3 linked regions of the Macaca mulatta genome follow. The protein of the gene in region 1 purifies or fractionates together with the protein of each later gene. This does not show direct contact. Links are inferred from orthologs where the notes say so. Each region holds a gene or a part of one and is shown in the gene's direction. Other genes may lie near its edges. The genes, in order: NPM1, GNL2 and RPS28.

Region 1 (10,888 bases):
TGCTGATGTATCCTATGTGTAGATGTATGTAGTATCTTGATAATATGTGACACTTAATGTCTTTTTTAATTTATTGGGGAATTTCTTAATAAGTAAAGCTGGGTTTTTTCTTTTTTCATTTTTTTCTTTTTCTTTCGAGACAATCTCTGTCGCCCCACCTGAAGTGCATTGTTGGCCAGGCTGGAATGTAACTTCTGCCTCTGGGTTCAAGTGATTCTCCTGCCTCAGCCTCCCAAGTAGCTGGCATTACAGGCATACGCCAGCATGGCCAAACTAATTTTTTGTATTTTTAGTAGAGATGGTATTTCACCATGTTGGTCAGGCTAGTCTTGAACTCCTGACCTCAGGTGATCTGCCCACCCCAGCCTCCCAGAGTGCTGAGATTACAGGTGTGAGCCACCACGCCCTGCCAGTAAAGCTGTTTTGATAGTAGTTTTGATAGCTGTTTTGATAGTAGTTTAATAGACTTGTTTTAACGAATAAGAAAAAACGTTTAAGGAAAGCATTCTCATCTTGTTTCTAGCACAGGGGAGGCACCTGCAGGGATTGGGTTCTAATGCCAGAAACTTGTAATGACAAAATCACTGTTAAAAAGCACTTTAAAGGCTATTCGTGGCAACTTTTTTAAGTTAGGATACTTTTTCTAAATACAGAAATTATTTCTTCAGTATTGGAAAGATAGGTGTTTCTTACATGAAGTTGCCGTATTGGGATTTAGAGGCCAGTATGTTCAGTTTTTTGAATTAAACGTGAACCACTTAGTATTTGCTGATACAGACTGCTGCCTGACTTGCCCTCTAATGACTTGATTGGATTACTCCCCTCCATTATTTACCTATTTAACGTGTAGAGTTTACACCTGTAATCCCAGCACTTTAGGAGGTCGAGGTGGGCGGATCACCTGAGGTCAGGAGTTCAAGACCAGCCTGGCCAATATGGTGAAACCCCATCCCTACTAACATACAAAGAGCTGGGTGTAATGGTCGGTACCTGCAATCCCAGCTACTACTGAGGGTGAGGCAGAATAATTGCTTGAACCCGGGAGGCGGAGGTTGCAGTGAGCCGAGATCACACCATTGCACTCCAGATTGGGCAATAAGAGTAAAACTCAAAAAAGAAAAAAATAGTGTACAGTTCAGTGGTTTTAGTGTGCTTAGTTGTGTAGCCATCACCACAATCAATTTTAGAACATTTCATCACCTCAATGAGAAATCGTCCTCTATAGGTATTACCCCTCATGCTCCTCAGCTCTAATCAGCCACAAATGAACTTTGTCTGTAGGTTTCCTGTCCCTCATATGTTGCATGAATGGACTTCTGTGACTGTTTTCCTAGCACAGTGTTTTCAAGTTTCGTCCATGTGAAAGCATTATCAGTACTCCATTTATTTTTATGGTTGAATACATTGTATGGGTATATTATTTGGTTATGCGTCAGTTGGTGAGCATTTGGGTTGCTTCTACTTGTTGACTGCTATGAACGCTTGTGGACATGTCATTTTTTTTGGGTGTACACCTAAAGCAGAGTGGCTGACCCATTGTATTCCCACTAGCAGTGTATGGGGCTTCTGATTTCACTACACCCTCACTTGCCATTATCTGACTCACTAATCCTGGTGGTATGAAGTGCTAGTTGTGGGTTTGATTGCATTTCAGACCTATGGACTATTATTAGTCTTTATTAGAGCATCTTTTCATGTATTCATTGGCCATATATCTTTGGAGAGATGTCTTTACCCATTTAAAAAATCCAGTTACTTCTCTTGGTCTTTACTGAGCTGTAAGAATTTTTTTTTTTCCTATGATTTTTGTATTTTTAGTAGGAGAAGGGGTTTCACTGTGTTGGCCAGGCTGTTGTTAAATGCCTGTCTTCAGTGATCCACCTCCCTCTGCCTCCCAAACTGCTGGGATTACAGCTGTGAGCCACTGTGCCCTGGCAAGAATTCTTTTTTTTAGACAAGTCTCTTTCTGTTGCCCAGGCTTGAGTGCAATGATGTGATCTTGGCTCTTGCTCACTGCAACCTCCTCCTCCCTTGTTCAAGCAGTTCCCCTGCTTCTTCCAAGGATTACAGGCATCCCCCGATCCCTTCCATGCCCGGCTAATTTTCTGTATTTTTAATAGAGACTGGGTTTCACCATGTTGGCCAGGCTGGTCTTGAACTCCTGATTTCAGGCCTGTCTCGGCCTCCCACAAGTGCTGGGATTACAGGCGTTGAGCCACTGCACCGGGCCTAAGAATTCTTTATACATTCTGCAAACAAGCACCTTATCAGACGCATGATTTGCAGATTATCTTCCACTATTCTGTGAATTGTCATTTAACTTTCATGATGGTGGCCTTTGACCCAAGTTTTAAATTTTTATGTCTGATTTCTTTTGTTGCTTGTGCCTTTGGTGTCAATCCTAAGAAATCATTGCTAAATTCAAAGTTGTGAAAATTTACCCCCTTAATTCTGAGTTTTGTCCTGTAGCTTTATTTAGCGCTTTGTTCCATTTTGAGTAAATATCTGTGTATGGTGTGAATGGAGGGGTCCAAATATAGACTTTGGGGTGTAGATGAGCAGTTTCCCCAAATGATTTGTTCCAAAACTTTTTTCCCCATTGAAGGATCTTGGCAACCTTTAAAAGAGTCACTTACGGCCCGGTACGGTGGCTCACGCCTGTAATCCCCGCACTTTGAGAGTCCCAGGCAGGTGGATCACGACCAGGAGATAGAGACTATCCTGGCCAATATGGTGAAACCCTGTCTCTACTAAAAATACAAATTTTAGCTGGGCATGGTAGCTTGTGTCTGTAGTACCACCTACTCAGGAGGCTGAGGCTGGAGAATTCGCTTGAACCTGGGGGGCAAAGGTTGTAGTGATTAGAGATTGCGCCACTGTACTCCAGCCTGTGACAGAGTGAGATTCCATCTCAAAAAACAAAAAAAAATCACTTACTATAAATATACGTATTTATTTATGGTCTGTTTGTTGATATATGTGTCTATCCTTAACAGGTAAGAACAGTTACAACACTGTTCCTTTGCAGTTTTTTTTTTTTTTTTTTTAAATGAGTCTCTCTCTGTCATCCAGGCTGGAAGCACAATGGTGCGATCTTGGCTTACTGCAACCTCCGCCTCCCGGGTCTTCCTGCTTCAGCTTCCTAAGTAGCTGGGATTACAGGTGCCCGCCACCACTCCTGGATAATTTTTGTATTTTTAGTAGAGACTGGGTTTCTCCCTGTTGGCCAGGCTGGTCTCAAAACTCCTGACCTCAGGTGATCCAGCTGCCTCGGCCTCCTAAAAAGTATTGGGATTACAAGCATCAGCCATGGTGCCTTGACCCCTTCGTAGGTCTTATAGCTGATTTTTTGAAATCAAGTGTGAGTTCTCTAGCTTTGTTCCTTTCAAGATTGCATTTGGCCTCTTTGGGTCCCTTAAGTGTCTTTTTTTGTTTTTGTTCTTTGAGATAGGGTCTTGCTCTGTCACCCAGGCTGGAGTGCAGTGGCAGAATTACACAGTTACAGTCTCAAGTAGATCCTTCTGCCTTAGCTTTTCAAGTAGCTGGGACTACAGGCACACACAACCACGTCTGCTAATTAAATTTTTTTTTTTTGTAGAGAGGGTTCTCATGTTGCCTAGGCTGGTCTCGAACTCAAATGAGATCCTCCCACCTCAGCCTCCCAAAGTGTTAGGATTATAGTTGTGACACACTGCCGACTCTTGGGTTTATATATAAATTTTAGGATCTATTTCTACAGAGAAACCAGCTTGGGGAGTCTTCTAAGGATTGTATTTAACCTGTGTATTTGGGGAGTGTTGCCATCTTGGCAATATCTGAACATGGAATGTTTCTATTTAGGTCTTTAGTTTTTTTTTTTTAAACATAAATTTACTCTATTTGAGTGTACAGTTTAACTGTACATTACTTAAATATACATATATTATACATTGGCATAGTGTATATTCATGCAAAACTACTTATTGAGCAGCTTTGTTTCCCAGCCCCTAGTGATCACAATTATACCTTCCATTTCTTTTGAGTTTGACTACTTTTGGATACTTAATGAATAGAATCATACAGTGTTTTTTTTGTGGGTGGCTTATTTTACTTTGTTCAAGGTTCAGTCATATAGCATGCAAGAGGATTTTCATCGTGTGTGCGTAAACATTTTCATTATTCAGCCATTTAACAGTTGGGTTGCTTTCATCTCTTGGCTGTTGTGAACAATGAATGCTTCGATTAACACGGTGCACAAATAATCACGTCAAGGTCCTGCTTTCAATTCTTGTGTCTACTCCCAAATTTTGAAAGTGCTTAATGTCTTGATGTTTCATTTGTAGTGATGATGATGATGATTTTGATGATGAGGAAGCTGAAGAAAAAGCACCAGTGAAGAAAGTGAGTAGATACAATGCTACAAGGTTGTTAAACTAACAATAGAAATAGTAATTTTTTAGTGCTATTTGCTTGTTTTGTAGTTGAGGGAAGCTGGTGTGGGAGATCATCTCATACTGAAAATTAGTTCTGAGGAGGACTACAGAAAACTTATAGTGGGGAATGGTCTGTTTTCTTTATCCATGTAGCCCTCCACCCAATTTGTTAGTCTTGTGTAACCTTTTATTCAAGTGGTTGCTGCTTTTTCTTTTCTTTTTTTCTTTTTTTTTTTTTGAGACGGAGTCTGTCACCCAGACTGGAGTACAGTGGCGCAATCTCGGCTCACTGCAACCTCTGCCTCCCGGGTTGAAGTGATTCTCCTGCCTCAGCCTCCTGAGTAGCTGGAATTACAGACTCAGGCCACCACACCCAGCTAATTTTTGCATTTTTAGTAGAGATGGAGTTTCACCATGTTGGCCAGGCAGGTCTTGAACTCCTGACCTCATGATCTACTTGCCTCGGCCTCCCAAAGTCCTGGGATTACAGGCGTGAGCCACTGCGCCCAGCCTGTGGTTGCTGCTTTTCTTACATGGCTTGGACAGTACTGTTTGCACTGTTGCTGGGGTCAGGGACAGTGATTAAGATAAATTTCTAATTGCAGTCTATACGAGATACTCCAGCCAAAAATGCACAAAAGTCAAATCAGAATGGAAAAGACTCAAAACCATCATCAACACCAAGATCAAAAGTAAGTGGTTACATTTACATATGGGTCTCATTGATACAGTCGGGGAAAAAAGATTCTACTGTTGTGGAAGAATCTAGTGTGTCTGAAATTTCATAGGCCTTTATAGAACCCCTGTAATTGCTGTTTTAAAGTTTAAATCAGCTTGCTGCAGCCGGGCGCAGTGGCTTACTCCTGTAATCCCAGCACTTTGGGAGGGAGGCTAAGGTTGGTGGGATCACCTGAGGTCAGGAGTTTGAGACTAGCCTGGCCAACAACGTGAAACCCTGTCCTTACTAAAAACACAAAAATTAGCCAGGCATGGTGGTATGTTCCTGTAATTCCACCTACTCAGGAGGCGGAGGTTGCAGTGATTGTACCACTGCACTCCAGCTTGGGCGAAAGAGTCAGACTCTGCCTCCAAAAAAAAAAAAAAAAATCAGCTTGTTATGTGTTATAGGTACACACAGACAAACATACTAAGTAATGTGCTGCTGGGGTTCCAGTGGCGGGGGGAACCAATGGACTTTTTTGAGAGAGACGGACCCTCGCTTTGTCAGTGAGTCTGGGTTAGAGCTGCATGATCTCGGCTTGCTGCAACTTTCACTTCCTGGGTTCAAGCGATTCTCCTCCCTCAGCTTCTCAAGTAGCTAGGACTACACGTGTGTGCCACCAGGCCCAGCTTATTTTTGTATTTTTGAGTAGAGGTCGGGTTTCACTATATACGTTGGCCAGGCTGGTCTTGAACTCCTGACTGCAGGTGATCTGCCCTCCTGGGCCTCCCAGAGTGCTGAGATTATAGGCGTGAGCCACCACGCCTGGCTTGAATTTTTTATGATTGTGAAGTCAATAGTTGTTTCCTGTAAGGAATCTTTGTTGAAAAGTATACCTGCATAGAGTAGAGATTCTCAACCTTGGCTGCACATTAGATTGAAGTAGAACATTTAGGGCCAGACAGGGTGTGATGGTCTCCTTTCTGGCCTTACCCCCTTCCCTGCAGAAAATGGAATTTAAAGGAGAAAAACTTTAAAAGAACCCAACACTGTGCTCTGCTTATGGAGATTATCATGAAATTGGTCTGGGGTGGGCCCCAGGCATCAGACTGCAATGACTTTCTTGCTTTATTCTTAGGGATCTTCTGATTTCATTTTTTGAACTGAGTATTGTGCATTAAAAAGTGAACTCCCAAGTTACTCCTTTTTTTTTTTTTTTTTTTTTTTTTTTAAAAAAAAGACGGGTGTCCTACTCTTGCCCAGTTGGGAGTACAGTGGTATGATCATAGCTCTCTCTACAGCCTCCAGCTGCTGGGCTCAAGCAATCTTCCCGCTTTAGCCTCCTGAGTAGCTGGGATTATAGGCATATGCACCACCATGCCTAGCTAATCTTACAAGAAAGATTTTTAAGAACAAAATTGTATGGTGTGAATTTATTGATAATTCCAGTTGTATAATTAGCTTTATAAGGGAGTTTTGTAAGACTATTTGAGGAAATCCAGATAGAATGGGTTTTAAATTAGGAGTTGTATTTATTCTTATGACCTTTTGGAAGTTCATTTCCTTTTCAGGGACAAGAATCCTTCAAAAAACAGGAAAAAACTCCTAAAACACCAAAAGGACCTAGTTCTGTAGAAGACATTAAAGCAAAAATGCAAGCAAGTATAGAAAAAGTGAGTAAAGTTATTTAAAAAAAAACTTTCTCCCTGCTCAAATTGCATGTGTCTAGTTTGCGTAGACTTGAATGTTTCTTGTTTTTTTTGTTTTGGTTTAATGTACTTGCCCTGTTCGTGGTATGAATTTTTTTAAAAATGAATTATAAAACATTTATAATCGTGTCTATGGTGATTTGCATATGCAAAATTAAATATGCCTTATTTTCCATTATAAAAGGAATGTAGTGCACTGGTTGCAAGATAACATTCTGACCTTCCATGTTAAAATAGATCAGTGAGAACCCTTGACCTATTCTGGTTGTAAGATATGCTAGAGAACCAACAGAGGGCGTATGAGACTTCATTAAAATTGCAAACAGCTGGAAAAGTAGACTGTTTGGTTGGTATTATAGTTAAATATTCATGATTGACCCTAGTCAGAAGTAATTTTCAGCAGATTGAGACATTTCTGTTTGCCCTTTACACCAAGTTGTCACCAGTTAAATACGTGTAGTAATAGATTTTGTGAATGACTAATAGGTTTAAATCTAGTTTCCTTTTGTCTTAAATAATGGAAATGTGGGAAGACGATTAGGTCTCTTGTCTGATTGACTTGAGTAGGATATGAAATAAATGGTTTAAATGCCTTGGAAGCACATTTGAGAGAAGCTTTAATTCAATGAACAATACTTTTAGACTGCAATTATTGAGAACAAATGTGGGGTGGTAAGGAAAAATTGCCAACTCATTTCCCCATGTTTTTCCTGTACTCTATAGATTTTTTGTTGGCTTGTGTAGATTTCCTTGTACAGTGATAAGTCCACTGGAAAAAAAATTTTAGAACTGGAACATATTTCTTGTTTTAGTCACACTGGAAACCCTTTAGCCTTCCTGCTTATCAGATTTTTGTCCCTTGGATACAATGCTGAAATGACATATTTTAGATTCCCCTCCCCTCCATTTTAATATGGTCCTATCTCCTTGGTTTAATTGCAGGCGCATTGAACAGCCCTGGGCACTACATGTAAATTAAGCCCAAAGATGGGGAGAAAGGAAAAGGAGAGACAAATATAGTCCATACTGAGTGTCATCAACAATCCAGACTGAAGTCTTCTATTTTAATCTCAATCCCCTTTTCTGATTTGCCACCCATGCCTCTTCAGGCTGGAAACAATCTCACTCTTGGTTCCCTAAAGCACTTTCTTCTGACTGCTGTGATTCAGTGAACCTTGCCCTTTGCTTTCTATTACTTGTGCATTTGCCTCACCTCTGACAATGTTTTAAATCGCCTTTGTATCTCCTTAGCTGCTCAATAAATATTTGAATGAATCAATTAAGAATGTATGTGACAATAATTTTGAAATGGAAATTGAGGTTTATTTTACTAGGTTATTGGAGGCAGTTAAGTTTCTTAATGCTATACTTGATTCTGCCAAGGTCCCTTGGACATTTGAAAACCTTTTCAATCTTTTAAAAATGCATAAAAGATACTTAGAGGGAAAGGTATTAAATTTAATAAAAACAGATATATTCAGTGCTTTAAGGTAATTCCAAAGTAGTGATAAATAAACATTTCAAGATATTTGCAATAGTAATGTTTTGAAATTTTGGTGACAAAAAGTTACAGGTATCGCCAACACTGTTGTAGTTTCTTGCCTATATCCATAATTTGAAGGAAAATGGTAAGAGTGATTAGTGAAGTGTAATTACTGTAATTTCTCCCCCATTGTAGTTTCTTGCATATATCCGTAATTTGAAGGAAATGGTAAGAGTGATTAGTGAAATGTAATTACTGTAATTTTTTCCCCATTCAACTTTATATATCTTTAACTGATGACCAGATCATTGTTGTTCTGAACTGGTTTGTGATCAACAAGTGTTTTGTGGGGTTTTGTTTTTTTTTAAACAACAGTTTGGGTCACTTGACATGGTTCTCCAAAGGAGTGTTACAGGTTGTGTTTGGTTCTGGGTGATAAAACCGGCTTGTTAGATAATACAGATAAGCAACCGAGTTGCCATGTCATGTTTGTCTGTAGAATCTCAAGTGTAGCTTTTATTTTATGTTCCTAGAGAGGTCGTCTGGGAAGATTTGACCCTTTGGCAAATCTGTTTGAATAGAGATACTAGCCATGCTGCCCAATAGGGCTTTCTGGCCCTGAAAAAGACATTGAGTATTCTTGGAAAGTTGAAGGGAAAAGGAGTAAACTGCTCTATGTAGTAGCATTGCAGATTATTGAGGAATTTTCTAAAGGTATCTCTCTCAGTGTATTTCTCTACTTACCTGTAATAATGCTTTTGTCTCAATAGGGTGGTTCTCTTCCCAAAGTGGAAGCCAAGTTCATCAATTATGTGAAGAATTGCTTCCGGATGACTGACCAAGAGGTAACTGAATTTTCTGGGGACAAGATGAAGTCCAAGTTTTTCGTGATTTATTATGATTCTGCCTTTACCCTTTTTAAGTGTTGGCTCTTTTTAAAAAGTTCCTAGCCACAGATAATTCATTTAATGAAATAATCTGAAAATTCATGTATTTAATGAAATACATGAAGAATACAGTTGGCAGTCTGAGACGATAACTTTAGTATATTTTTTCCAAATTTCCTATAGTTGGCAAATTATTTCTTGGTTATTGAATTCAGTTTTACTTTTTTGGTACTATTTTGGCTAAGGAAATTGCTGTGGTTTTCCTTGTTGCTCCATTTGGCGGCTTGGGGCAGTCTGGTCTTTGCTTTTTTGGGAGTTGGTAGAGATCTTTTTTTTTTTTTTTTCCATAGATCTTATGGGAAATACATTTTGCCAAAATCATCCTAACGTGAAACCTGGAAGCAAGACACTAAATTGTGGCTACTACTAGATATATAAGCTTGAGTTTAGCTGTTAGATTTTACAATTAGTACGAAAGTCTTCGTCAACATACAGTTTATGCATTTATTTTTGCTCTTATTTACAGTTGACTTTTTTTTGTTTTTTTTTTTTTTTTTGAGACGGAGTCTCGCTGTGTCTCCCAGGCTGGAGTGCAGTGGCGTGATCTCGGCTCACTGCAAGCTCCGCCTCCCGGGTTCACGCCATTCTCCCGCCTCAGCCTCCCAAGTAGCTTGAGACTACAGGCGCCCGCCACCACGCCCGGCTAGTTTTTTGTATTTTTAGTAGAGACGGGGTTTCACCATGTTAGCCAGGATAGTCTCGATCTCCTGACCTCGTGATCCACCCGCCTCAGCCTCCCAAAGTGCTGGGATTACAGGCTTGAGCCACCGCGCCCGGCCTTACAGTTGACTTATAAGTGTAAGGAAAATGTAAAAGTGGTTAAATAGGGACGTTAGGTAGGTATCGTGTAGAGAACCGATGGCTGCATTTAATGGTTTTTAGGTTTCCTGTAGTCAGCTTTTTTCAGAAAATTTGGCAATTAGCTGGTTTTTTTCTGCCATAATATTTAGCAGGTCAGTTATTTTAATTGCACCTTAATTTTTAGTTTTTGGGTTTGTAAAACCCTGATTTGGTTAATTTTGACTTGAGCTTTGCTAAAGTTGCAGTGATGGGCTTTAAGATGATCAGATTCAGTCTTTGATTTGGTTAATTTTGACTTGAGCTTTGCTAAAGTTGCAGTGATGGGCTTTAAGATGATCAGATTCAGTCTTTTGGTTGCTATTCTGTTTTTTCTCTACATTTGAATCCCAAAGTTTAAAGTGTGAGTTTTGGGAGTTTATTTGGCATACTAAACATTGATTGAGCATAAGTTATTTTGAAACTTTATACAACAGGTTATTTTGAAGCATTATGCAACAGGTTATTTAATATTGAAAATAGTGGAAAGTCAGACATAAATAACCAATATGTACTAACAAGTAAGCATAAGAGATGCATTTCTTCAAGTACAGCCAAGGAAAGTGATAATTTAATGATTAAGTTGCAGTGGTCGTCTGTACTTTATAACAAAGGCTTGTAGCTACAAAGTTTTGTAGCTATTAAATTACTGAACCAGCACTTCTACCAGAAGTATTTTGTTTTTAAAAGTATTTTTGCCCAGGTTGGTCTTGAACTCCTGGCCTCAAGCAGTCCTCCCAAGTTGGCCTCCCAAAGTGCTAGGATTACAGGCACGAGCCACCTTGCCCAGCCTACCAGAAGTATTATCTTGCTCTAGAATTGAAAGTATTCTCGTGTCA
Region 2 (10,888 bases), on another chromosome or scaffold:
AGGGGCGCGAGCGGAAGTGACGTAGGTCGTGCACACGTGGTCCGGCGTGGTTCACGCGGGTCGCTTCGGCCGGGCCTGGGTAGATCTAAATTTGTTTCCCCACGTAAGCCGGACCTCGCACTCCGGTCCCGGTCTCGTCGCCAAGATGGTGAAGCCCAAGTACAAAGGACGGAGCACCATCAACCCGTCCAAGGCCAGCACAAACCCGGGTACAGGCGGCAGGGCTGATCGAGGGTGGAGCTTGGAGGAAGTATAGGGAAGGGCTCCGAGGACTGGAGGAGGAGGGTTACTTGGGTGGCATTGCTTAGAATGACTATGAGCGGGGTGGCTGTTGGGGATGAAAAGGGAAAAAGGAAAGCAATATTTGTGATGGTTTCTTCTCAGGGGGGCACTGAGGAGGGCTGACATTGCACGCCTGGCAGGCCAAAGTGTAGTCAACTGGTCTAAAGTCAGGGAAAGTGAACACTCAGGCTGGCAGCCTCGGGTCCTCTCCAGTTGAGAGATGCAGAGAAAGTCAGCTTGAAAATGGGTAATCGGGCCTTTTACACGTGATCATATTTGCCGGTCACCTTAACTTTGACCTTTAAAATGAGAAAGGGATTGTAGTTTTTGCCCTTGGAATTATTCTATCTGGTAAAGTGCTTAGAGAACCCTACAAAGAAGTCAATATGATCATTGCAGTAAGGCTGTTTTGGAGATGTGTGTAAGTTTTGGCGAAGTTCCACCTGTAGGATTAACAAGACATCCTGTGGGAGAGTTCTTTCCATTCAAGTTTAATTAATAAAACTTTGTTTTAAAATATGATTTAGAATTTTTGACAATTTTAATGCATGTTGAATGTTTACTCCGGATTGATAATAAATTATTCACTTTGCACAAACTGGAATCTCAGAATGTTAGACCCCAAAAGTCCCTTAGAGATTATGATTTTACAGGTAAAGAGACTGAATCAAAATGCAGGAAGTGGCTTGTCATAACTGCAACAGTTAGTGAGCAGTAGTAGAGCCGCCAGTCTCTACTGTTAGAGAGTAGGAGAGCCAATGGGCTGTGGTTTCAGTCTGTCTTCTACTGCATCACTTCAGGACCAGACAGGTAATTTAAAGGGCTCCCAGTTGGGTGTGGGCTCAGGCCTGTAATCCCAGCACTTTGAGAGGCCGAGGCGGGCGGATCACCTGAGGTCAGGAGTTCAAGACCAGCCTGACCAACATGGTGAAACCCCCTCTCTACAAAAATAGAAAAATTAGCCGGGCATGATGGCGGATGCCTGTAATCCCAGCTACTCGGGAGGCTGAGGCAGGAGAATCGCATGAACCGGGGAGGCGGAAGTTGTAGTGGGCTGAGATCGCAACACTGCACTCCAACCTGGGTGAAAGAGCAAGACTCCGTTTCGGGAAGAATAAATAAATAAATGGCTCCCAAAATGAGAAGCTAGGCTAGTATTACCCTGCTCGTTTGTTCTTCTCTTTCTCTTTGAGATGTAAGGCAAGAATTGCTGTGTTGAATAAACAAAAAATCAAACATTAAGAAACTGGAACACATATATATCAAAATTATAGTCTCCATGGTGCCTTGCATGGAGGAGGCACCCCATATTTGTTAAATGGAGGCACAGAGGTAGGTATCTTCGTGGTTAAGACCACAGATGTGATAAAATGATCGTGTTCAAATTCTGGCACTGCCATTTAGTAACGGTTTGACCTTGGGCAAGGTGTCTGACCACTGTGCCTCAGTTTCTCACTCTGCAGCATGGAGATAATATATCTATAGGATTATTGTATGGATTAAATGAGATGATGCCTATAATGTGGATAGCCATCATAAGTGCTCAAAAATATTAGCTGTTCTTCTTCTCAAATACAATCCTATCGAAGATCAAAGGTTGGGTCAGCTTTGTCATACCATATAGCTTCAAGTAATAATTATTGGAACAACATGGAGAAAGTAGAGATTTTTGTGGTTGGTGGTTTCTTACCTAATTTGGGTGAACTACTTGTTGCATTTTAAGCAATGACTTGTTGGTTATACTGGTTGGTTATCAAATAGTGCACTGTGTACTTCTGCCTTTTGTAGATCGAGTGCAGGGAGCAGGAGGCCAAAACATGAGGGACCGGGCCACCATCCGGCGCCTGAATATGTATAGGCAAAAGGAGCGCAGGTGAGCATTGGGTGCTGTCATCCTTTCTCTTTTCCTTCATGCCCTTGACCGCTAGCTGAGACTGATTAAGCCTTTGCTGTTCTCACCCCCACTTCCTCCAAATAAGAGTTATATATTCTCGAATATAATTGTATATGAATGTTGTTAGGATAAATGGTTAATTTTTGGTTAAGGGCATGGGTAGCTGGTGGTGAAATAGTGATGGTTTCACAGTACTCAAAAGTAGAGGTCTTGTTTCTCACAGCCCTGACCTTCACAAATGGCGCATTAAATCTCAGCGTTAAATACGGCCAGATATAACAAAACCTACAGGACTATGGGTAGGAAAGCCACCAGAAAATGTGTTTTTTAATGCCAAAATGTAGATCACAACATTGTGGCACTTGGACACTCATCACAACTCCGAGTTCTGCTGAGGTAGCCTCTACCACAGGGATTTGCTGAGTGTGGCATTCCGCTAGCTGGTCTTAGTTTGTTTGGTAATTAGATTCTCCGTCTCTGTCTGTTCTAGAAGATGTGACTAAAATACAAATGTCAATTAACTTATTATGCGTTAGTCATCTACTTTGCAGTTTGTTTTAGAATTTGGAATCCCAGCGTAAATCACCCTCTACTTGAACAATTCATCTAAAACAGCCTTCGAATAGTTACCAAAAAAACTCAAGTATGTGTTTTTTTTTTTTTTTAAAGTAAACAGTAAACAGATTTTTTAAAACGTCACCGTTGTTATTCATCTAGCAGAAATCATTACGTGCTCTGTTGCAAGAGGTTAAATGGCTTTTGGGCAATCTGTTTCAAATGTAGGAGTACTTTGTGTTTACTGGAATTGGTATTTCATGATTGTTTAAAACCAAAGTAAGAAGTCCTTTTGATGGAAAATATATTCTGTAAATCAAACTTTGCTGTTGCCATTCTTCTGTTGTCAACCAATATCTGTTCTTTCCTCAATTTAGGAACAGTCATGGTAAAATAATTAAACCCCTGCAATATCAGTCAACGGTGGCTTCTGGCACAGTAGCAAGAGTAGAGCCAAATATTAAATGGTTTGGTGAGTATTATCCCCTGCTACTTTGCTCTACAAAATGTATGCTGAATGGAAACGGCTAGGATGTTTAAATATCTAAACGATAGGAGTTTTTGGTGAGTGGAACTGTCAAGGATTATCTGAGAAAGGGATAAGAAAAAGTACTGGGAAAAGTAGTGGTGGTAGATTTAATAAATAACTTCTTTTTGAAGAGCGCTCACCATTAGTAATTGTAATTGAACCCTCTTAAGCAGATAAGACCGTCCTTAATGACTAGGATTCACAGACCTTAGAATGCTCATCTTGATCTTTTATGCTTGCCTGGAGAGATACTGTTTGAGAGGTGGCCTTGTAGGTGTTTGTGCATATATCCTTCAGGGTAAGTGCATTAGCCCAGAGTTCCTCTGAAACACTTCTTAATGGAGTTTTTATTTGAACTTGGGTGACAATTAAAGAGTCTCACTGTTGAACTTTCCAACAGTGAATAGAGTATCTTCAGTCACAGGGTGATCACGGCTTCTTCCTTGGGAAACTCCCTGTTCCATTTCAGTCTGGGCTTTTAACTTTGCCCTTAGCCACTGGTAATGTATGGGCACTTTAGATGATCAGACCCCAGTGTTTGCTTGGTGTTTGACCTCTGTCCTTGGGGGCAGATGGCAGCTACCTTTGAGTCTCTTATACTTTTGGTAGGATACTTCCTAGGAGCTGCAACACAGAAAGGTGTCAAAGAAAACTCTGCAGAGAAGCATTTAGCATGGCTGCCGGGTACTGTGACTCCAGATTAGACTGCCTGGGTTTGAATTCTAGTTCTGTCATTTATGTGCAAGTTATTAAGTCTGTCTGTTCATCAGTTTTCTCATCCCTAACAGAGAATAAGATGAAACCTATCTCACAGGACTGTCGTGGTAATCAAATGAGTAAATACAAGCAAGGCACAGTGGCTCATGCCTGTAATCCCAGCATTTTGGGAGGCCAAGGCTGGTGATTCACTTGAGGTCAGGAGTTCGAGACCAGCCTGGCCAACACGGTGAAACCCCCATCTCTACTGAATATACAAAAATTAGCCAGGCATTGTGGTGGGCACCTGTAATCCCAGCTACTTGGGAGGCTGAGGCAGGAGAATCCCTTGAGCCTGGGAGGCAGAGGTTGCAGTGAGCTGAGATTGTGCCGCTGCACTCCAGCCTGGGTGACAGAGTAAGACTCTGTCTCAAAAAAAAAAAAAAGTAAATACATATAAAGTGCTTAGAATAGTACCTAGCAAATAGTGAGTATAATATAAGCATTCCTTGCTACCATCATTACCACCTTGCTGTTTTGCATTCATGCTGCAGCATGCTGTTTAATTGAATGCTTTTCAGGATCTCCCTCACAAGGTGTTTTCCAGGTGGAACAAGCAGGGCTCTGTCTTGTTCCCTTGCATGGATTCATTGGTTAATGAATCATTAACCAATTGATTAACCAATTGAGGTCCCTTTGGATCCTCATAACCCTAAAAGTGGTAACTATGACTCAGGTTTCAGTGTTTCAAGATTCTCTGTCTATACTGACTGATCAGCTGTGATTGGCTCCAAGTTTCTCTGCCAGATCTAGCAGGAAGTAGGACATTTGTCAGATCTCAGTTCCATTCCACGCTATTTATTTCTCAGTTTCATTTAGTCAGGAAACGGCTTGGAAAACTATTGAAACCCTTTGTGGGTCTGGGTTGGTGGAATAGTTCATAGTGTGCAAGTGCAGGAGAGGCAGTTTTTTGGGTTTTTTTCCTCTTTTAAGTTTGGAAATAGCTCCAAGGGATGGATGGATCAGGTACTTGGGTGAGTGAGGGTAATTTAAAATCTTGCCTTTCACCGTGTCAGTGGAAGATGAATGTGCAAATATGTATTAAGTGGCAACATTCTTTATTTGTAAAACAGGAAACACACGTGTGATTAAGCAGTCATCATTACAAAAATTTCAAGAGGAAATGGATACAGTTATGAAGGATCCATACAAAGTTGTCATGAAGCAAAGCAAGTTACCAATGTCTCTTCTCCATGATCGAATCCGGCCTCATGTAAGATGTAGGATATCCCTGGCGATGGAATTTCCTGGGCAGACTCCTTGCAGCTCCCTCTCTAACATATTTGTCTTTTGTTTTTCTTAGAAAATAGCAATTTCAGTGTAGCAATGATGAACTTCCTAAGACCTCTGTTTTCATCTTTTCACGTTTAGTATGAAGTATGGTAGTGTAGTGGATCAAAGCACAGGTTTTGGAGTTGAGACCTGAATTTTAATCCTTGCTCTATCCGTTCCTGTACCCTTAGTTGGGTTTCTCTATGAACTTGAACTTCTTTGCTTTGAAAGTATAAATAGGCTGGGCGCAGTGGCTCACACCTGTAAATTGGGAGGCCCAGGCGGGCGGATCACTTGAGGTGAGGAGTTTGAGACCAGCCTGACCAATGAGAGGAAACCCCATCTCTACTAAAAATACAAAATTAGCCAGGCATGGTGGTGCATGCCTGTAATCTCAGCTACTCGGGAGGCTGAGGCAGGAGAATTGCTTGAACCCGGGAGGCGGAGATTGCAGTGAACCAAGATCGTGCCATTGCACTCCAGCCTGGGCAACAGGAGCGAAACTGTCTAAAAAGAAAAAGAAAGTATAGATAACCCACCTCCTTGGGTTATTGGCTACAGATGAAACATCTGTAAAGCACTTGGTCCGTAGTAAGCACATAGCACACCACCTAATAAGAGCTAAATTGATAACAGATATTAGTAATATTATTTATTATTATTTATTTTGGTAGGCAAACTTGTTTTAAGTGGTAATTCCATCAAACATTGGGACAGCGTAGAATTAGGATTGAGTTGGTAGAACTTTGGTGTTGGGTACGTTCAGCTTTTGTAAGATCCTTGAGATTTCTTCTCAGCTGAAGGAAGGGGTGCTGGTCTCATTGGTTGTCAATTGCTGAAGTTTGAAGTACGGTAAGGATTCAATCTGGGTTGAATGGAATGAGTTTCACACAGAACAAAGAAAGAGTCTGATGTTTGTCTGCTCATTTTTACTTGCATTGAATAATAATTCCCAGAAATATAACCATTACGTAAGCTTCAGTTCCGATATGAGGAGGGGAGAAAAACATTGACATGCGTACGTGGGTTAAATAGTTCAAAGAAAAGTGTTTACTTGCAGAACAAAATAAAAACTAAGGCCTGGTTATTGCCTCAGGTTTTGTCAGTTATGTTTTGTTTTATGATGGACTAGAAGAATGGCACCTATTAGTGGAATGACTGTTTTCTTTCAGGGGAACACATGAGTGTAATTCATGAACCACAGACAAGTTGCTCATTTCCCTTGTTCTCTTTGTCTGTTCTCCCTAAAGCCATCTTTTAAGCAACTATTGAATCTTGTTTATGAGAAGAACAGAGAGGCTCTATCATGGATTTATTGCTTTGTTGCCTGTTCTTGTCAGCGCTTCTAAAATTTAGTGTTTAAGTATCTGGTATGTAGAATGAAGGGTCTACAGTTGCACCAGTCAGCTTCTTTGTTGATGCAGAAAGCTACTCAGAGTAATTGATGCGTTTTCTGCTTTGGTCTTGAAAAACCTTACCTATTTTATTTTAGTATGATATCTATTACTTATAAAATCTAATTCTGAGATTATTTTGCACAGTGGAGTTAGATCAGATATGCATATTCATCTATATGTGTTTTAGAACTACTGTATTTCTGTAGCAATACAGTAAGAGTACTGTAACTTTGCATATGTACTTTATTATATACTGTATATTACTGTATTATACTTATTAATGTGTAGATTTATAGGCAAAGCCTTGTGTGCTGTAACTTATAGGTTAAGAGATTTTGAAGATAATTTTGGTCACACTTGATTTTACCCAGTGACATTAGAACCTGTTTCTCATGTAAAATGAGCTGCTTCTGTTTGGGGATGCTCCCGAGTGGAACATAGTGACTAAAACTAAACTGAGTTGTGGGTTAGAGCATCTGAGAAAATGAAAATAGTTTAAGGATCTTTAGAAGTTGGAAGAGGGGATCCGTTAAAGTTCAGAAGCCATGGGGGCTGCTCCATCATCCTCACAGCTTTTGGTAGTGGTGCTTACAGAGGAGCTTGTGCTAGGGGGAAAAGGGTGATTTTCTTCTTTTTTCTTTTTTGATATTGTCTGCCGGCTGTTAACATTCTGTTATGTGATAGATCCTAACTCAAACTTTGACTTTTATCTTGCTTCAGAAATTCTTATGCCTGTAACTCCTTTACAGGCACATCAAGTTCTAGTTAGTATCAGGTTCCTTTTATCACATCTAAACTATTATTTTGGGCTTTGGCTAGATGTTTTTCATCTGAAGACTTGCCATGTGCATTTAATAAAAACGTTACCTAAATTAGGGAAAATGTTATCTGAAACTAAAATGCATCTTACAAAACAAACAATTCCTTTTAGCCATGAAAGAAATTAACTTCCAAGAAAAAGTTGGCATTTACAGTTGGTTTAAAAAAACCTCACAAATTTGAGTATGATTGTCCTTGATAAAATCTATGAATTTGGCAAATTTTATGCACTTGTTTGAAAGCTAAAAAAAATGGTGGAAAAGATTAGTTAATTTTCATCGCTGTAGCCTTAATTACATTTGACTAAAGTTTATGATAAATGAAATAAAGCAGAGTTTTTGGGAAGTTTTTGCACAACTATTCATATTTACTTTATTTGTATTACTTTTGTATCTCTCCAAGGAAGCTTACAGAACTTCGGAATAAGGGTACCAGTGTTTGTGCCATTTCAACAAGTATTTCTGATTTGAAACCAGACTGAAACCATGTTTTTATAGATTTGGGTATGGGTTGAACCTTGGAAAAATAAAATCAGAAAGTCTTTCCTAGGTGGGTGTTTAGCTTTTCGCTTTTCCTCAGTGCTTTTCTTAATTTTACCTGTTATTCTTGTTTCTCTTCAGAAATCGAAGGTCCACATTCTTGAAACTGAAAGTTTTGAAACTACATTTGGCCCTAAGTCACAGAGGAAGCGACCAAACTTATTTGCAAGTGATATGCAGTCTCTTATCGAAAATGCTGAGATGTCCACTGAGAGCTATGACCAGGGCAAGGATCGTGATTTGGTAACTGAAGACACTGGTGTGAGGTAGTTTCTTTGTTTGTTTGTTTGTTCGTTTGTTTGTTTTTTGAGACAGAGTCTCGCTCTATTGCCCAGGCTGGGGTGCAGTGGCACAATCTCGGCTCACTGCAAGCTCCACCTCCCTGGTTCATGCCATTCCCCTGCCTCAGCCTCCCGAGTAGCTGGGACTGCAGGTGCCCACCACCACGCCTGGCCAATTTTTTGTATTTTTAGTAGAGACAGGGTTTCACCGTGTTAGCCAGGATGGTCTCAATCTTCTGACCTTGTGATCCGCCCACCTCAGCCCCCAAAGTGCTGGGATTATAGCATGAGCCACTGCGCCTGGCCTTTTTTTTTTTTTTTGGTGGATAGAGTCTCGCTCTGTTGCCCAGGCTGGAATGCAGTGGCACGATCTCGGCCCGCTGCAACCTCTGCCTCCCAGGTTCAAGCAATTCACCTGCCTCAGCCTGCCTCCATGCCCGGCTAATTTTTTGTATTTTAGTAGAGACAAGGTTTCACCGTGTTGCCCAGGCTGGTCTTGAACTCGTGAGCTCAGTCAGTCCACCCACCTCGGCCTCCTAAAGTGCTAGGATTACAGGTGTGAGCCACCGCGCCTGGCCGAGGTACAGTTTTGAAGTTCATGCAAGTCTCATCATTTGCTCTTCTGCCACAAAACATTTTCTTTCAAGTTATTTTGCCTGTGTGAAGCTCAGTGCTTTAATTTATATATGGAGCTGTCTTCTTCCCTCAGGCTAGAGACATTGGTGAAATTGGGGCTAGACTGAAGATGTCTAATGCGGCTTGATAAAGGTCTCTCTTCATTCCCAAAATAAATAAGATTTTCTTCATTTATAATCGTAATACACCAGTCATAGACAAATTAGGAAATATAGTTAAGTTGGAAAATGCAACACAAAGAACATAACTCATAACCCCATTGCAGATATTAAGCATTGTTAATGCCTCCGTGAATATGCGGGGCTTCCTTAACTGGAAGACTCTGAGTTCATGAATGGCCTTTAAGGTTTCTTTGACTCTTTGAAGAAAATGTGGAAAATTTGTGAGCATACGTAAAGGCGGTGGAGTTTTGTCTTTTTGTTTGTTTGTTTTGGGGAGGAGAAGAGGAAGTGTCTATAACTTTCATCATATTCTTGTAGGGATCCATACTCAAAAGAAGAATCAGTCACTAGCTGGCTGCAGTGGCTTACCTGTAATACTAGTTTTCTGGGAGGCCAAGGCAGGAAGATCACTTGAGCACAGGAGTTTGAGACCAGCCTAGGCAACATAGCGAGACCTTGTCTCTACAAAAAATAAAAACTTGGCTGGGCATAGTGATGTACCTGTAGTCCCAGCTACCCAGAAGGCTGAGGTGGGAGGATCACTGGAGCCCAGGAGTTTGAGGCTGCAGTAAGCTGTGATTGTTAGGAATACGTTTCTATGTCAGTACATAATCAACAATAATATAATATTTATTGTCAGAGTGGTATTTTGTTTGTTATGGCCAGTATCATTGTTGGACATTTATACTGTGTATAGTTTTTCCTTATGGTGAACAACACAAGGGTGAAGCATCAATGTGACCACATCTCTTTCATCCTTAATTATTCCCCAAAGATAAATTCTTACGGAGCAAATCGTGGTATCAAAAGGTATGCATGTTTTTTGATAGGCAGCTGCCACATTGCTCTTGAGAAAGGTTTAATTTCATTTCCCTTGGGTAGTGCTAGAAAGCTCTCATTCTCCATCTATCTCATGTCTCTTAAATGAAGTGAAGGTTTTGCTGTCTTAGTGAAGAGGCATTGTACTTTGACTGCATCAGTGTTATTACCTCATTGCTATTGTCAGCCCATCTTCAAGCATTGGGCCAACTAGAGATAAAATGTCAAGCCATTTGAGGCCAAGCAAAAAGAGGCAGTGAGTTCATCTATTTATTCTTAGAATTATTTGAACTTTCGTTGGCTTTGTATTCTGCTGATTTGAATTTTTCCTCCCTCAAAAGGTATAGTAGGTAATGGAGTAAAGATAAAACTATTTTTGTTTACCTTGGATAAATGCCCTTGAGACTAGTAAATGAACAAATTCTAAACCTTATCAGAAAAATACTGCTTTATATGGGAGCTATGGAGTATAGGTTGTGATTCAGCTCCTGCCAATTCCATTTCAAAATTCTTTTAATTCTTCTTTTTTTTTTTTTTTTTTTTTTTTGAGACAGAGTCTCGCTCTGTGCCCAGGCTGGAGTGCAGTGGTGCGATCTCGGCTCACTGCAAGGTATGCCTCCCAGGTTCACACCATTCTCCTGCCTCGGCCTCCCAAATAGCTGGGACTACAGGTGCCCACCACCGTGCCCGCTAATTTTTGTATTTTTAGCAGAGACAGGTTTCACCATGTTAGCCTGGATGGTCTCGATCTCCTGACCTCGTGATCTGACCGCCTCGGCTTCCCAAAGTGCTGGGATTACAGGCGTCAGCCACCACACTCGGCCTCCCATTTTATAATTCTCTGTGACGTACTGCTTAATTCAGTCATGCTTTTTTTTTTTTAGTTTAATGTTTTATTGTGGTAAAATATATGTAACAAAAAATGTGGCCGGGCGCAGTGGCTCACAC
Region 3 (10,022 bases), on another chromosome or scaffold:
CTTGAGTGATTCTCTTGCTTCAGCCTCCCAAGTAGCTGGGATTACAGGTGTGCACCATCACTCCCGGCTAATTTTTGTATTTTCTTTCTTGCTTATTATTTATGAGACAGGGTCTCACTTTGTCACCCAGGCTGGAGTGCACTGGTGCGATCTCAGCTTAATGAAGCTTCTTTGACCTCGCAGGTTCAAGAGATCCTTCTGCCTCAGCCCTTCAAGTAGCTGGGACTACGGGCACACGCCACCACACCCGGCTAATTTTTGTATTTTTTTGTAGAGATGGGGTTTCACCGTGCTGCTCAGGCTGGTCTTGAACTTCTGGGCTCAAACAATACACCCACCTCGGCCTCCCAAAGTGCTGGGATTACAAGCAAGAGCCACAGCGCCCCTAACTTTTGTATTTCAGTAGAAGCAGGGTTTCGCCACGTTGGCCAGGCTGGTCTTGATCTCCTGACCCCTAGTGTTCTGCTCACCTCGGCCTCCCAAAGTGCTGGGATTATAGGCGTGAGCTACCATACCCAGCCTAAAAATTTTTTAATGAGACAGGGTCTCGCTGTGTTACTCAAACAGGTCTAGAACTCAAGCAATCCTCACACCTCAGCTTCCCGAATCACTGGGATTACAGGCACACACCACCGCGCCTGGCCTATTCACAGAGTTCTAAGTACCGAGCAGGCCCTGCCTGGCCTCATCACCTCTCAGATCTCAGCACACTGCAAGTCTAGCATCCCTGTTTTACACAGGAAGAAACCAAGGCTCAAGAAGGCGGAGACTGCCCACACCGTGAGTCGTCTGTAGAACCCAGACCCCAGTGGGAATCCAGGCAAACTGGTTTGAAATCCTGCTTCTGCTGCCGGGCGTGGTGGCTCACACCTGTAATCCCAGCACTTTGGGAGGCTGAGGCGGGCGGATCACAAGGTCAGGAGATCGATTCCATGGTAAAACCCCATCTCTACTAAAAATAAAAAATTAGCCGGATGCGGCAGAGGGTGCCTGTATCCCAGCTACTCGGGAGGCTGAGGCAGGAGAATGGCGTGAACCCAGGTGGCGGAGCTTGCAGTGAGCTGAGATCGTGCCACTGCACTCCAGCCTCGGCGACAGCACGAGACTCTGTCTCAAAAAAAAAAAAAAAAAAGAAATCCTGCTTCTGCTTACCGCTGCCTGTGTGACCCAGGCCAGTCACTTGGTTTCTGTGAGCCTCGATTTCCTCTTCTTCTTTTTTTTTTTTGAGACGGAGTCATGCTCTGTCGCCCAGGCTGGAGTGCAGTGGCCGGATCTCAGCTCACTGCAAGCTCCGCCTCCCGGGTTCACGCCATTCTCCTGCCTCAGCCTCCCAAGTAGCTGGGACTACAGGCGCCCGCCACTTCGCCCGGCTAGTTTTTTGTATTTTTTAGTAGAGACGGGGTTTCACCGTGTTAGCCAGGATGGTCTCGATCTCCTGACCTCGTGATCCGCCCGTCTCGGCCTCCCAAAGTGCTGGGATTACAGGCTTGAGCCACCGTGCCCGGCCGATTTCCTCTTCTGCAAGAGGGGCCATCACCATCTAACTGGTGGAGTTATTAGGAGGTAGGCAGGACACTGACTCTGTGCCAGGCTCCCTTCTAAGAGTTTACAAATATTAATTATGAGGACTAACCCTCATAACAGCTTTCTGAAGTAGATACTATTAGAGTCCCCATTTAATTAAGAGAAGGCACCTGAAACCAGGGACCAAACTAGTTTTGGAGAGGAATCCAAGGGTTATACAACTCCCTCTCTGAGAATAGTACATGGCCAGGCGCGGTGGCTAACGCCTGTAATTCCAGCACTTTGGGAGGCCAAGACCAGGAGATCACATGAGGTCAGGAGTTCAAGACCAGCTGACCAACATGGTGAAACCCCAACTCTACTAAAAATACAAAATTAGCCTGGCATGGTGGCACGCGCCTGTAATCCCAGCTACTTGGGAGGCTGAGGCAGGAGAATTGCTTGATCCTAGGAGGTGGAGGTTGCAGCGAGCCAAAATCGCACCACCGCATTCCAGCCTGTGCAACAAGAGTGTGACACTGTTTCAAAATAAATAAATAAAATAGGCTGGGCGCGGTGGCTCAAGCCTGTAATCCCAGCACTTTGGGAGGCCGAGACGGGCGGATCACAAAGTCAGGAGATTGAGACCATCCTGGCTAACATGGTGAAACCCCGTCTCTACTAAAAATACAAAAAACTAGCCGGGCGAGGTGGCGGGCGCCTGTAGTCCCAGCTACTCGGGAGGCTGAGGCAGGAGAATGGCGTAAACCCAGGAGGCGGAGCTTGCAGTGAGCTGAGATCCAGCCACTGCACTCCAGCCTGGGCGACAGAGCAAGACTCCGTCTCAAAAAAAAAAAAAAAAAAAACACAAAATAAATAAATAAAATAAGAATTCATAGTTACATAAACAGTAATGTCTCAGCTTTTCACAGGGCCCTTGGAGGGACCCCGGAACTTCATGTTTTGTAGGATGCCCAGTCCTGGCTGAGGTGCTAACTTCTACCCTCCACTGGGTTGGACTAAATGAGCTCTTCCTGAGCATGGTGACTCTCACCTGTAGTCCCAGCTACTCGGGAGGCCAAGGCAGGAGGATCGCTTGAGCCCAGGAGTTTGAGAACAGCCTGGGCAACAGAGCACGACCCCATCTCTACAAAACATTTAAAAATTAACCCAGCATGAAGGCCGGGTACAGTGGCTCACACTTGTAATTCCAGTACTTTGGGAGGCCAAGGCAGGCGGATCACGAGGTCAGGAGATCGAGACCATCCTGGCTAACATGGTGAAATCCCATCTCTACTAAAAATATAAAAACTTAGCCAGGCGTGGTGGTGGGCAACTGTAGTCCCAGCTACATGAGAGGATGAGGCAGGAGAATGGCGTCAACCTGGGAGGCAGAGCTTGCAGTGAGCCGAGATCATGCCACTGCACTCCAGCCTGGGCAACATGGCAAGACTCTGTCTCAAAAAAAAAAACAAAAAACAAAAAAAACAGGCCAGGCACGGTGGCTCACGCCTTTAATCCCAGCACTTTCGGAGGCTGAACTGGGTGGATCATGAGGTCAGGAGTTCAAGACCAGGCTGGCCAAGATGGTGAAACCCCATCTCCACTGAAAATACAAAAATTAGCTGGGCGTGGTGGTGGGCACCTGTAATCCCAGCTACTCGGGAGGCTGAGGCAGGAGAATCACTTGAACCTGGGAAGCGGAGGCTGCAGTGAGCCAAGATCACGCCACTGCACTCCAGCCTGGGCAACCGAGTGAGACTCTGTCTCAAAAAAAAAATTAACCCAGCAAGGTGGTATTAATCTGTAATACCAATTACTGGGGAGGCCAAGGAAGGAGGGGAGGATCACTTCAGCCCAGGAGTTCAAGGCTGCAGTGAGCAATGATCGCGTCATTGCACTTCATCCTGGGCGACAGAGCAAGACTCTGTCTCTAAAAACAAGCAAATGAGCTCTCGGACAAAAAGCTCCCAGCAGCACCGTTCCTGATGCAATTGATGCTTACTGAGTAGGATCTTGACAAGCACCCTTCCCACAAGTTGGGGAAAGAGAGTGGGTTGCAGGAGGGGGCCGTGGGGGCTGTGGTGAGCTAACGGTGGAGATCCTCACCTCTCTGCTGGCTTGCCTGGCACCAGCGCCTTCTGCGAGGACATGATGACGGAAGGGGGCACAGATTCCCGGCGGCCATCGCGAGTGCAATAGTAATTATTGGAGAGCTTGTGGTTAGGACCCACAGGGAGCTTGGGAGGAGGCTGAGTTCTGAGGGGAAAAAACAGCAGCATTGAAGCAAAGGGACAGTCACTGTCATGGCCCTGCTGTGGGTCCCTGTCACTTCGGTCACAAAATGTAGGATCTACAGCCAGCCACTGGGATAGGCCACAGGCTGGGGGTGTCCCTTGGTACACTGGCAGGGACATATGCCTGGGGAGGGGTCCTGGGGCCAGAAGCAGATGGCAGCCCCTGCTCTGGATGTGACGATGCCAGGGACCCCACCAGTCCCGAATGTGATGGGTACAGAGGACCTTTTCTGAGGTTCCCAAGGCCCAGGACATGTTCCCACGCCCCCCACCCCACGGCTGGGCTTGGCAGCCAGCCTCACCTGATTTAGCCCACTCTGAGTGGCTCTTTCCCCTAAGGCCAGGCTCTGGACGCCCTGCGTTTCCTGTTATCTCAGGAAGTCTCTGAAGAACCCTGCTAGGATCAAGGCCCATTACTCAAAGAACACCTTGGCCTTGGAACCTGTCCAGATCTCTGCATTTCCTGCCACCATGTGGCCAGGCAACTCCTCTCTGGAGCCCAGAGAGGGGTGAACAGAGCTCGGTCTTGGGTTGAACTAAACCCTGGGCTGGATTTACCTGGAAGCCTGAGGCCTTAAAAGAAATGCTCAAGCCGGGCGCGGTGGCTCAAGCCTGTAATCCCAGCACTTTGGGAGGCCGAGGTGGGCGGATCACGAGGTCAGGAGATCGAGACCATCCTGACTAACACGGTGAAACCCCGTCTCTACTAAAAAATACAAAAAAACTAGCCGGGCGAGGTGGCAGGCGCCTGTAGTCCCAGCTACTAGGGAGGCTGAGGCAGGAGAATGGCGTAAACCTGGGAGGCAGAGCTTGCAGTGAGCTGAGATCCGGCCACTGCACTCCAGCCTGGGCGACAGAGCGAGACTCCGTCTCAAAAACAAAAAACAAAACAAAAGAAATGCTCAAAACAAGGATGGGCACGGTGGCTCATGCCTGTAATCCCAGCACTTTGGGAGGCCAAGGTGGGTGGATCACTTGAGGTAAGGAGTTCGAAACCAGCCTGGCCAACATTGCAAACCCCCATCGCTACTAAAATACAAAAATTAGCCAAGCATGGTGGTAGCAGGCAGAGGTTGCAGTGAGCTGAGATCACCCCACTACACTCCAGCCTGGGCGACAGAGTAAGACTCCATCTCAAAAACAAAAAAAAAAGCTCAAAACAAAAGAGGGGCTTTCCAGAGAGAGGGGGCAGAGAAGAGCAAAAACCGTAAATTGATCTGTTTCTACTTAGCCATGTTTCTAAATTACTTTTTTGTCTGGGAACTGTTTTGCCAGAATTAAATTTTTTTCTGAGGCAGTGATCATACGCACTGCAGCCTGGATGATATATGCAATCATATGATTGCTTGAGGCGTGATCATAGCTCAGTGCAGCCTCAATCTCCTGGGCTCAAGCAATGCTCCCACCTCAGCCTCTCAAGCAGCTGGAACTACAGGTGCACACCACCACATCCAGCTCATTTTTCTCAAGTAGCTGGAACTACAAGTACACACTACCACATCTGGCTAATTTTTCTATTGTGTTTGTGGAGTTGGGGGTCTTGCTATGTTGCCCAGGTTGATGTCGAATTCCTGGCCTTAAGTTATCCTCTCTCACCTTGGCCTCCCAAAGTGTTGGGATTACAGGCGTGAGCCACCAATCATTGTATTTTTTAAAAATAAGAAACATAAAGTAAAAAATGTTTAATATTAAAAGCAATATATTACGTGAAAGACTTTGCTTAAGGAGGCTGGATGTGGTGGTTCATACCTTGGGAGGCCAAGGTGGAAGGATTGCTTGAGGCCAGGGGTGGTTTTTTTTGTTTTGTTTTGTTTTTTTGTTTTGAGATGGAGTCTTGCTCTGTCGCCAGGCTGGAGTACAGTGGTGCGATCTCGGCTCACTGCAACCTCTGCCTCCCAAGTTCAAGCGATTCTCCTGCCTCAGCCTCCCAAGTAGTTGGGACTACAGGCGAGCGCCACCATGTCAGCTAATTTTTGTTTTTTTTTTTGAGACGGAGTCTTGCTCTGTCACCCAGGCTGGAGTGCAGTGGCACGATCTCGGCTCACTGCAAGCTCCGCCTCCTGGGTTCACGCCATTCTCCTGCCTCAGCCTCCCGAGTAGCTGGGACTACAGGCGCCCGCCACCACGCCTGGCTAATTTTTTGTGTTTTTAGTAGAGACGGGGTTTCACTGTGTTAGTCAGCATGATCTCGATCTCCTGACCTCGTGATCCGCCCGCCTCGGCCTCCCAAAGTGCTGGGATTACAGGCGTGAGCCACCGCGCCCAGCTTAATTTTTGTATTTTTAATAGAGACAGGGTTTCACTATGTTGGCCAGGCTGTTCTCAAACTCCTGACCTTGTGATCCGCCTGCCTCAGCCTCCCAAAGTGCTGGGATTACAAGCATGAGCCACTGTGCCTGGCCAGAGGCCAGGAGTTTAAGACCAGATTGGGCAACATGATAAGACTTTCTCTATAAAAAATTTTAAAAATTAGCCAGGTACGGTAACATGTGACTGTAGTCCCAGTTACTTGGAAGGCTGGAACAGGAGGATCACTTATGCCTGGGAGTTCGAGGCTGCAGTGAGCTATGATTGTGCCGCTGCACTCCAGCCTGGGTGACAGAGACTCAATCTCAAAAAACAAAAACAAACATCCAGATGAATCACTAGAGGGCGCCGTCATCCTAAAAAAGTCAAAACTTTCACAAAGCCATTTCCTCAACTGGCCCACAACTACCCTGATAGAAAACCAACTGGGGGATTGTGGGGGCGGCGGGGACAGCATCAGGAAGAATAGCTAATGGATGCCGGGCTTAATACCTAAGTGATAAGTTGATTTTTGCAGCAAACTACCATGGCACATGTTTACCTTTGTAACGAAACTGCAAATGTACCCCAAAAGTTAACATTAAAGTTGAAAACAAAAAAAATTTGATACTTCTAATATTTGGAATTAGTCACAACATGTAGGCATTCACATAAATTTGGTTATTTTAATGCTATTTTTCTTCCTTTCATTATAATCCTCAATGACTGCCTTACCTCTGCCTATCCCTTTGACTTCACAGACTATACCATTATCCCTTTCCCTCAATGGGTTCCATCCATACTGGCCTCCTTCCTACTCAGGCTCTGTCCAGCCTGACAGTCTTAGCCCTTCCTGTTCCCTCTGCTCAGAATGTTTTTTCTTTTCTTTTTTTTTTTTTTTTTTTTGTAATTTTTTTGAGGCAGAGTTTTGTTCTGTCGCCCAGGCTGGAGTGCAGTAGTGCGTTCTCAGCTCACTGCAACCTCCACCTCCCAGGTTCAAGCGATTCTCCTGCCTCAACCTCCCAAGTAGCTGCGACTACCGGTGCTCGCCACCATGTCCGGCTAACTTTTGTATTTTTCCCGAAGAGGGGGTTTCACTATGTTTCACTGCGTTGGCCAGGCTGATCTCAAACTCCTGACCTCGTGATCTGCCTGCCTCGGCCTCCCAAAGTGCTGGGATCATAGGCATGAGCCACCGTGCCCGGCCAGAATGCTTTTTTAATAATTATTCTTTGAATGGGTCCTTCCCATCATTCAGGCGACTTAACTGTCATTCCCGAAGAAAGATCTTTCCCAATCATCTGACTTTACGTGGCCACCCTCCAGCTTCCACTCATTTTGTTTTGTTTTCAAAGTATTCCAGAACAATACTATCTGCTGTGTTTGTTTCCCTACTAAGCTTCTCCCTAGGATGTGGTGTCCATGAAAGGAATGTGGATAAGAACTTTCCTGGTTCACAAAGTTAAACCCAAGGCTGAGGTCATACATGACAGGGGCTTGTAAATATCAACTAATATTTTAATATAAATGAGTCTGAAATCAGGACACTTCTGGGTTCAAGTCCCCGCTGCCACTTTCTAGCTTCTGAGTGACTTCAGGCAAATGATTTAGCTTCTCTGGACCTCTTTTTTCATCTGTAGCTTGGGGATAACACTGACTAACATGGTCACACTGAGCACTGCAAATCTAGCCTGATTCCCACTCAGAATGCACGCCCGGCCTCGCTGTTCCAGGAGGGCTGTCTCCGGAGTTCAGCAAGGTTAAAGGCAAACCTCTGCCTCCACAGCCTGGCAGGGGACTGGTGGCAGGATATCAGTCCTGCGTTTCAGGGGTCTAAAGGAACATAGATTTTGTTTTTGGTGGAGAAAGGACAGAGCCAGAGGCTGGGCAGCGAGCGGGGCCTGCTCACCGCTTGGAGATCTCCTGGTAGCGCAGCTGCAGCTTCCCCTGCAGGTCTTGCTGTGGGAAGAGGAAAGGGGAGGTCGGCCTGCAAGGCACCCCAATAGAAAGGAAAGGACAGGGCGAGAGACCAGGGATGGCCCGGGGATGCGCATTTTGAGGGAAGGCAGGGGATGAACACTCGGGGAAAGGGATGTGGGTCCTGCAGGTGAAGAGGAAAGCCGGGGTCCGGGCCCACAAGATCCAAAGCTAAGAAGGTCGGGGACTGGGGAAATCCCAGGCCTGAGTGGTTCCCAGGAGAGGAGAGGGTCCCGGGCTAAAGGGGTCACGAGTTGGGGGTTCCTAGGGAGATTCGGGGACAGCGAAGGGTCCCGGTTTAGGAGGGAGGTGAGGAGCAGGAGCGGGTCCAGAAACACGGAGCCCGAAGCCCCCCATGGTACGGCCTTGTCCGCCCCGCGCACCCCAGACGCCCAGTTCCGCAGCCGCTGGATGAGACGGGTGGCGGACGCCATCTTCCGTCCGAAATGCTGAAGGGCGCCGCCAGTGACGTCTCCACCGCAGGGGCTGCTGGGAAAGACGCGGTGTGGTCTCGCGAGACAGGAGTAGGCGGGGCTAGGATGTCCTATAAAGTCTCTCGACGAAGCACGTGACTTCTCTCCGCCAGACAGCCGCTGTGCCGCCATCATGGACACCAGCCGTGTGCAGCCTATCAAGCTCGCCAGGGTGAGGTGGGGGCCCGAATTTGGGGGCAGGGGAAGGGAGTGGAGGAGCCGAACGGGCCAGGTCTGAACCCAGCTTCTTTCCTCCAGGTCACTAAGGTCCTGGGCAGGACCGGCTCTCAGGGACAGTGCACGCAGGTAATCGGGTGGGGGCATTTGGCCGACTGCCGGGGACCTAAACCGCTACCCTGTCCTAATCCCTGCCAGCCGGAATCCGGGAACCGATGCTCATTTCATCCCAGGGTTCTGATGGTTCCCTTTAACGATCTGTGTTTTGGGCCCTACACGTTCTCTGAATTCGTATCTCCTTCCCACTTCGCGGTGCCTTTCCGCGGCTCGCCCTAACTTCTTCCTCCCCTCCCTGGTGGGGACCCGTAGGTGCGCGTGGAATTCATGGACGACACGAGCCGCTCTATCATCCGCAATGTGAAAGGCCCCGTGCGCGAGGGCGACGTGCTCACCCTGTTGGAGTCAGAGCGAGAAGCCCGGAGGTTGCGCTGAGCTTGCCTGCTCGCTGGTGGGTGCAGAGGACACCCCTTTGATAAACCCTTGGTTGGTGGTAGGGAGGCTTCGTTAAGCCCAGGGTGAGAGGGTTTGGGAAGCACAGTCTACAGAGACTGACCAGAGGGAGGCGGGAGTTTGCCAATTGCTGCAGGGCCTGTCAGCATCTCATGTTTGGTTCTGTTTACAGGGTCTTGGATGTTGGGTTCGACCACTTGGCCGATGGGATTGGTGTGTCACAATCTGCTCCTTTATTTTTTGCCCGCCACGCGGAATTGAGATGCTCCTTTAAATAAAGCGTTTGTGTTTCAAGTTAACTTGGGTTCTTGTCTGGGTTATGCGACTAGGGTTTCTCTAGTTTTCTTGAGTGGTTCCCAGGTGGTCACCGATCCTCCTCACTCAGGACATCCTGGCCGTGGGGTCTTGCCAAACGAAGCTTTTCTTTTTTGAGGTGGGGGGGTCGTATTTGTATATGTGCACCCTCTACCCCGAACAAAACACAAGCGTAGTAGGAATGTTTTATTAGCAAAGAAGTTTCAGAGAGTGGGTGAAACAGGGCTATATCACTCCTTGGTCCCCACCTCATTTTGGTGGGGCCAGGGTGAGCCCCTTCCTGTCACAGTCACCCCAACTGAAATTGCCTTTCTCTTCGGCCAGTGTTAGCCTCTGAGCAGAGGACCCTGGACCATTCTGTGCGCCAAACACTGAGCTGACTGAGGAGGAGATCTCCCCACAGCTAGGTGTAGTGAGCCAGACGGGGCAGCTCACTGAACCTGGGGGTTCTCTCCATTGTCGCTGCATTCTCCTTCACCAGGTG

The links.
Region 2: the proteins of NPM1 (region 1) and GNL2 purify together in Homo sapiens (affinity purification with mass spectrometry; 3 studies listed by BioGRID and IntAct, counting the BioPlex papers as one, with this or other methods). This does not show direct contact. The link is inferred for Macaca mulatta from reciprocal best matches to the Homo sapiens genes NPM1 and GNL2.
Region 3: the proteins of NPM1 (region 1) and RPS28 purify together in Homo sapiens (affinity purification with mass spectrometry; 3 studies listed by BioGRID and IntAct, with this or other methods). This does not show direct contact. The link is inferred for Macaca mulatta from reciprocal best matches to the Homo sapiens genes NPM1 and RPS28.

The regions. Positions count from the first base shown.
Region 1 is NC_133411.1:180,255,247-180,266,134, forward strand, and holds part of NPM1 (nucleophosmin), read left to right. Parts: intron 1-4,322; coding exon 4,323-4,380; intron 4,381-5,017; coding exon 5,018-5,104; intron 5,105-6,628; exon of another isoform or gene 6,629-6,644; coding exon 6,645-6,746; intron 6,747-7,724; exon of another isoform or gene 7,725-9,035; coding exon 9,036-9,110; intron 9,111-10,888. UniProt on the Homo sapiens protein: Involved in diverse cellular processes such as ribosome biogenesis, centrosome duplication, protein chaperoning, histone assembly, cell proliferation, and regulation of tumor suppressors p53/TP53 and ARF.
Region 2 is NC_133406.1:203,201,350-203,212,237, forward strand, and holds the start of GNL2 (nucleolar GTP-binding protein 2), read left to right. Parts: upstream 1-21; 5' UTR 22-145; coding exon 146-209; intron 210-2,070; coding exon 2,071-2,155; intron 2,156-3,108; coding exon 3,109-3,203; intron 3,204-5,089; coding exon 5,090-5,229; intron 5,230-8,124; coding exon 8,125-8,309; intron 8,310-10,888. UniProt on the Homo sapiens protein: GTPase that associates with pre-60S ribosomal subunits in the nucleolus and is required for their nuclear export and maturation.
Region 3 is NC_133424.1:9,162,685-9,172,706, forward strand, and holds RPS28 (small ribosomal subunit protein eS28), read left to right. Parts: upstream 1-8,640; 5' UTR 8,641-8,669; coding exon 8,670-8,708; intron 8,709-8,794; coding exon 8,795-8,842; intron 8,843-9,082; coding exon 9,083-9,205; 3' UTR 9,206-9,221; intron 9,222-9,395; 3' UTR 9,396-9,522; downstream 9,523-10,022. Other genes in the region: NDUFA7 (NADH dehydrogenase [ubiquinone] 1 alpha subcomplex subunit 7), read right to left, coding at 3,613-3,762, 7,996-8,045, 8,447-8,497. UniProt on the Homo sapiens protein: Component of the small ribosomal subunit. The ribosome is a large ribonucleoprotein complex responsible for the synthesis of proteins in the cell. Part of the small subunit (SSU) processome, first precursor of the small eukaryotic ribosomal subunit.